Drosophila melanogaster: one gene and its partner. The protein of the gene in region 1 interacts with the protein of each later gene in a pairwise test. Each region holds a gene or a part of one and is shown in the gene's direction. Other genes may lie near its edges.

Region 1 (4,031 bases):
ACGCCGCTCCAGCCATCCAGCAGTCGTATGTCGCCCCCAGCAACGAGTACCTGCCTCCTGTGCAGACCTACTCCGCACCGGCCGTCCAGAGGACCTACTCCGCACCAGCTGTCCAGAGGACCTACTCCGCCCCCTCTGTTAGCTACTCGGCACCCTCTGTGAGCTACTCGGCTCCATCGGTCAGCTACTCCGCTCCTGCTGTCCAGCAGTCGTACTCCGCTCCATCGGTCAGCTACTCCGCCCCTGCTGTCCAGCAGTCGTACTCCGCTCCATCGGTCAGCTACTCCGCCCCTGCTGTCCAGCAGTCGTACTCCGCTCCTGCCGTCAGCTACTCCGCCCCATCGGTGAGCTACTCTGCACCCTCCGTGGATGTGGGCACCCAGTACGCCTCCAACGGTGGCTACGTCTACAGGAAGTAGGGATCTTCAACGAAGAGGCCTGCAACTGAACACGAAACAGTGTCCATAACTACATACTGCCCAAATTAACCATATATTTTTTTTTTTTGTTTTGTAAACTTTTGTTTACAACGAAATAAACCGAAACATCAATAATCCAAATAAATACTTTTGTTTTTAAAATGGGTTTCAGAGTTATAAAAACAAGCGTCTAATATTAATATTAATAAAATTTTTAACAAGTGTATCCCTATTCACTTTATATCAAAATTCCGGACCAGGATACCAAAATAGCGTACTAAAAACCACGCGCGACTTGAGTGCGGTTTGGTTGCGGTTTAGGTGCGGTTTTGTTGCGGTTTTGATGCGGTTTGAGTGCGGTTCGTTTTCAAAATCGAACGTCAAAAGCAAGTGCTTGTTGGTGCTTAATACTTCAGAGTAGACAAAAGGTGGCACTTTATAAGCCAATAAAAATATAATAAAGTATACGAATGATATGTCCATACAAAGTAAAGAAGATTTATTGGCATTAGTCTATAATGGTAATTTTCAAAATTAAAAAGCTTAATTCTTCGACTAGTTAACACTAAAACCTGTAGGACAAGAACATAAACATTTAACATACATCAATGTTTTAACTAAGTATTAGCGTTAAAAAATATAATATAAAGCTTTAATTAAGTTGGGCTTTTTATAAACAGCTTGCAGCTTTGATTAAACTTGGAAGCTGCGACTATTTTAAGCATTTTCAAAGAGCTTTTAGTTTAAATATAGCATGAAACTTTATGGTTTTCCTAGTTTTAACACTAAGCTTTTGAGTATTTCAAAACTATGACTTGCAGATACATTTTCTGAGAGTGCTTGGCATTTCTGAAAAATTATTTACTCAAGACTTTTTGAAATCATTCAAAACCATTATTTAGTATATTACAGTAAATAAAACGAACCTCCTCGACGTTTTTCCTGTTTTTAATTAACACCCTTTTGCTTTCAGGTAGTAATTTTTAAAATTTAATATTCATCATAAAGCTGAGCAAGAACTTGAATCTAAATCAAATAAAATGTTACCCTTTCATTGTTCTTTCTTTTCGTTTATTGAATCTTTTTCATTATCGCCTCTTTTCTTTGTGCGATGCTGAATTTAACATTCGATTTCGGCGTTAGTTTATTTATGTAAAATCCGGCCGCTAAATTAAATTTTATAGTTCAGTTTTGGCACCTCCCCTCGCACCTTCGATCACCTTTGGATTGGCGATTATTTATGGAACCTTTGTGATGATGCAAAGCAATTTCCGTTCGCCGAATGCGAAAGTGAAATGAGCCGGCCGCGAATTTATGTAATATGTTGATATGCCGTCTTATATATGGCGGATTTGGGGCCCGTGGCCGCATAGCCACCGTCGCCGTGCAAGTTCCCAGAGATCAAACCGGAGCTCGAGATGATGCAGCCATGGGCCGTTGTGGTCCTACTTCTGCCCCTGATCAACGGAGATGTGAGTCACCTGCCCAGGGAATATATACCGCCCAGTGCGGAACTGGAGCCAACCACACGGTCTGCTGCTGATGGCCAGGAGGTGCAGAAGGATCCATCTGGATTCTATCCATCGACTGGACTGCCACTGCCGCCGGGCTATGCCATTCCCACGGGCAGCAACGTTTTGCCACAGCCTGTCCAGCCGCCAAACTTCCCTCTGCCCATCTATCCACCATTCTACGGCTTCGGCGGAGGTCCTGTCGAGCAGGGAGGAGGACATGGTATTGGGCCAGTGCCTTCGGCCTATCCCAACGGAGGTGCATTCCCGGCGGGTCCTACCAATGGAGGCGCATTCGCAGGGGGTCCTACGAATGCGGCCTTCCAACTGCCACCAGGTGGTCCTTTCGGTCCGCAAGCTGGTAATTTTGCCCAGCCAGGTGGTTTCCCGCAGGCAGGTGGGTTTCCCCCACAAGGAGCTGGCTTCCAGCCACAAGGCATCCCTGGCAATGGATTCCCAACGCAAGGAGCTCCCTTCTCACCACAGCAGGGAGTGTTCCCATCACAAGGAGGTGCCTTCGGGCCACAGGGAATACCGGGCAATGGTTTCCTAGGAGGTAACTTCCCGCCACAGGGAGGGCCCTTCCCAGGATCCGCATATCCACCGGAGTTCTTGACAAACCAGGGACTTCCCCTCACAAATCCCCAGGGTCCCTTCCAAGGACCCAGTCCAGCAGGATTCAATGTGCCCGCAGGATTCGGCGGACCTGTGCCCGGCCAGAATCCCTACCAACAATTTGGACCCGGTTTCGGAGGACCCGCTCCGCCGGGCTACTCCGATGAGCCGGCGAAGGAGCAACCAAAGGACAGTGAGAGGACAGTAGTGGCACCACCATCGGCCGACGATCCCAAGAGTGTGGCGGATACGGTTTACGCATCCAATGGCGGCTATGTCTACAAGAGGGCCAAGTAATGCGATGGCTTTCGAAGCCCCAAATTGGGGAGTTCATCAAACATGTTCGCCATAAATTATGATCCATATTTTGTTTTTTTTTTTTCTTGTATTTTTTGTGCCTTTGTTTTTATTCATTTATTTGATCTGCTGGCCATAAAGATGCGGACAGACAAAACGATTGTCTCTATGCTAATCGAAATCTTTGCCAAAACTGACTGATAACCATAAACGAGACAATCTATCGTCGTGATTGATACATATATATAGACAGACCTATGTTTTATGCATACCCTGGCCAGACACATATGTGTTCATAAACTATGTTGTCTTCAAAAGTCAATACAAGGCGATTAAAGGCTGAAATAAAAAACACGATTAGTGGTTTGGGTGTGGACTAAAACCGAAGTCCTACGATAATTATGCACATTCACCATCAAGGTTTATTGAACTCTGATATGTTTCTGGATGGAATTAAGTTTAAACAAAATGGTACAAGAATTAAAAAAAAAAACATCCACAACTTAAAAGCAGTAATAGTTTATCATGCAACAACAATGGATCATTAAAAATGGATTTATGTTTATCATTTCATATTCTAAAATAAATCCAACTTAAAAACGAATAAATTCAAATGATTGTCTTACATGTATAAATTTTGAATTGACGTCACAGAAAAGAGGTAGAGAAAGAAGCTGCCCACCTAAAGGGCAAACTTAATCGATTTAAGTTAATTTCAGCGAAATTCAAAGAACCTTCTGAGTTAATTTTAGCTTCGCGATATTTTTTTTTTTTTTTTTAATTTGCCAAACTAGTTTCTGACGTCAAAGAGTTTCCCCTAAAGAACATACATACATTTATGATAATGAACTTCTTTTCGTGAACTTAAGATGGTTATCGAAAAGGGGATTTTTCCATAGTTTAAAACCAGACTTATTCAACTCCCATGTTTGGTTTCAAAAGTCTATAGACTTCAACTAGCCCGAATTGATTTTTTATTCATCTTTTTTTTTTTTTTTTGATGTCTCCACTGAATTATTTATATGTGGCTTTTGATTGTGTTGTTGTTATACAGTAAATACATTAAAAGTCTTTATAACAACTTTTTTATGGCTTTGCCAAATGGTAAAAAATGTCTTTTTGTCTTTTGGGAGAGCTTTTGTCACCTTTTATGACACGCTTCATCAACTTACATTAGTTGGTTCATATA
Region 2 (3,328 bases), on another chromosome or scaffold:
ACAAACAGCGGGCCATGACTTTCTTTTATAACAAATATATTCATTTCATACTCGTTCGGAGGCAACAAATCGCGTGACATGCTGACAGCGGTACTTGGCCCTCGTGTTGCTGTTGTTTCTGCTGAATTTGTTGAGTGGAGAGTGTAAAACTCAACTATTGTCTTCATTTTTCTTGCAAATCATGCAAGGCAATCTAAAATGTTGACACATTGGCAAACACATATGTGGTTGTATGTTCACGCCGACATGGGCAAATCGGCACATATTTATATATTGTAGTATAGGGGTGAGGAGTACAACGGCAGCCAGGAACATTGTACACAAAAGAGGGTAAGAGAAAAAAAAGAAAGAAAAAAAAAAAATATTTGGCGCCCTTTTTGCCCATGTCACTCAAGTTCAAGGTTTACACGCTGTCGGTTAAGGTTACGCTTTTATGTATTATCGCTGAATTGTCACAAGTCTGCGCTTTGTCTCGCAACGAGCGCTTTGAAAAATTACAATAATTGTTATTTACGCATATCTGAACATGAAATGTGTCAATTGGCAGCCAACGAGCTAGCAAAGCGAACGCAACGCAATGAAAGAACGCAACAACGTGGCGTATGCGTAATGTGTGAAAAGGGACACAAGGTCTGGCACTTTTGTCGGGCGGCAAATGAGTGGTATTGGGTGGTGTTCGGTCGGAATGGCAGTAGTGAGGGTATTTGCGACGAGCATCAGACAAATGCTGTCAAGCCTTCATAATTTGGTTCATAAAGCGATTTAGGTATAAGCTTCGAGAGGGTGTTGTGAGTCCCTGGTCAAGCCACAAAGCCACATTAAATGATTTTTCTCGGTTCGAGTAGGTTAAATAGGTTACATAATCCTAAAAATTCGTTTTAAAATTGCACCTTTCACATAAAACAGCAACATGAAAGTATCGTGTTCGTATTGATTGAGTTATACAATTTTCCCGGCTTTATTTCATATGACTTTTTGCAATCGTGTTTTGACTGCTCCTGAATTTTTTATAAACAAATTTTAATTGCCTCCAATTAAGATACTTAAAAACGAACACCTATCGCATTGAAAATAATGTGCTTGGTTTTTCATTTAAAGTTGGGAAAACATAGCTATAGAAAAAAAGTTCTGCATAATTTAATGTTAATAAATCTATTAGCAGTATCTTTATTTATATTAAAATAAATAACATTAGGGTATCCAATCTTCATTGCATCTGCTGTTTTGAGTTCCTATGATTCTATACCACATTGATTGGCTCGACTAATACGTCACATTTGTTAGAACCTTTTTTTTGTCTTCAGCTCTTGTACTGCTTTTTATTGGCCACCAATTTTTTGCGGGCGTTCTGAATGAAGGCATTAGCATTGGCTTCAATTAGCGAGCTTTAAATTTAAAAACAAACGCCAATGGTGTTGGCATTAAATTCAATCGAAGTACTCACTCTACATATAAATAGGAAACAGCGGCGGCTCTTTGACTGGCAGTTGTGTGGAAATCATTGACGCGGTTTGTCGATTGAATTAAATATAAATATCATATTTTCATCGTTAAATTAAATAATTAAATATGCCATTGCCATTGCAATTGCGATTGCTGTTGCTGCCTCTGGCGATGATTTTGCTGCTGGGCACGCACTTGAGTGGCGCGTCGGCTGTTGACAAGGATGTGGCACCAGTTGGCTATGTAAAAACGGATTTGCTGTCATTGGAGCAGGAAATTGGCGGCGCTGCGGATTCGCAGCGAAATCTGCTTCCGGTTCGTCGAAGGCGTGGCATCTTCTTCAGCGGCAGCATCGGCGGATTGCCGTTCCTCAACTGGGCCAGTGGCTATTCTTGGGCATATCCTGGCTATCCGTACAACTACTATGGCTCACCATCGCCTGGCTATTATGGTTATGGCAGTGGCTACTATCCCGGCTACCTGGGCTATCAGAAAATTATCATCGGTTAATGCAGATTTGTGAGAGAACGAAAAGACAGAGCGAAAAATCGATTAGAGAACCCCTTTTCAATGTGAGATTATAAATAATGGCCAGGAAGGAGCGGCGTCGACCCTTTCGCAGTTTGTTATTTTACTTATTGTTGGTGCTTTTAAATTAATTTGCCGGACACAGGGAAAAAGTTGAGCTAAGTTGAAGAGGTGGGGCGCGTATAAAAAAAAAATGAAGAACATGAAATTGCACAATTTATATTCATTTTGCACAGATTTTGCATAAATCATTTCGCAGCGACCAAAATGAAACGCGTAACATAATTTTTAACCCTTGATAATTTTTTATGACAAGCATTTTCGTTATTTTCCCTCCGTGGGACCACCTTATTTGTTGCTGCTGTTGTTGTTGTGGGGCCGCAGCGAAATGCAAATAAAGCGGATCAAAAGTTTGCTGTTAAAAGAAGATTAATTGCAATTTGGTGGCAAGACCTGAAACATTTCGAACCCCACAACAACCCATCGAAAATCCGCTGCCCAATCGGCGCGGTGGGCAATGGGCGGTTGGTAATTAAATATTTTTAAGCTGTAAATGGTTTCCATTTACGTGATGCTGTTCTTATTTTGTATTTGCAATCAATAAAATTCATTAAACGCACAACAATAACAACCAACCAAAGAAGGGAACCAGCCAAATCAAATAAAATACATTCCTCAACGGTCTTAGTTTCAATTGCCACTCCACCGGCAGTTGTAAATTGTTACTCTATTATAAGTGCTGTCCTGCAGTTGTTGCAGTTTCGCAAGTGGCTATTGTTTATTCATTCAGATTTATAATCATTTTATTGCCGAGGTATGCTCAATTTTTTAATCAATTTACATAATTTATGCCCTTTTTATGAACTTCACTCCCAATGGGATCAGATGAACGCATTCGGTTTGTGAATTGTTGAAGAGAGCGCAGCGGAAAATGTTTCAGTTTTGATAGTTGATCTGCTATAATATTGAATTATCGTTATACAAGCAGTTGTCACGTTGTAAATCATTAAAAATTAATTATCGATTCAACAGGACTGCTGTAACAGCAATGGTGATTTTTGCCTTAACAGTCTCACAAACTCAATGGAAATGCATTTTTATATTGCCTGCTAAATGTTAAAAATGATAGAAGTATTAATTAGTGGGCGAATTGAAATAATTGTATCCATATATAATTATATAAAACTAAATTGATTTATTTTTTTGGTCATACATGGACGGATATTTAAAATCTTCAACATACATTAAACCATGATTTCAATTTAGAGTTCTGCTTAATATTTCAAGAGTTTTAAAATTACTTTTAGTTCTATACGATAGGGAAACTTTGTTTTAGTTAATTAGTATTTGAAGGGAC

The links.
Region 2: the proteins of CG11581 (region 1) and CG14369 interact in a two-hybrid assay, tested with the Drosophila melanogaster proteins (one large-scale study listed by BioGRID).

What each region holds. Positions count from the first base shown.
Region 1 is NC_004354.4:14,175,110-14,179,140, forward strand, and holds CG11581 (uncharacterized protein), read left to right. Parts: upstream 1-1,813; 5' UTR 1,814-1,837; coding exon 1,838-2,842; 3' UTR 2,843-3,347; downstream 3,348-4,031. Other genes in the region: CG1368 (uncharacterized protein), read left to right, coding at 1-419.
Region 2 is NT_033777.3:13,590,901-13,594,228, reverse strand, and holds CG14369 (uncharacterized protein), read left to right. Parts: upstream 1-1,571; 5' UTR 1,572-1,614; coding exon 1,615-1,953; 3' UTR 1,954-2,597; downstream 2,598-3,328.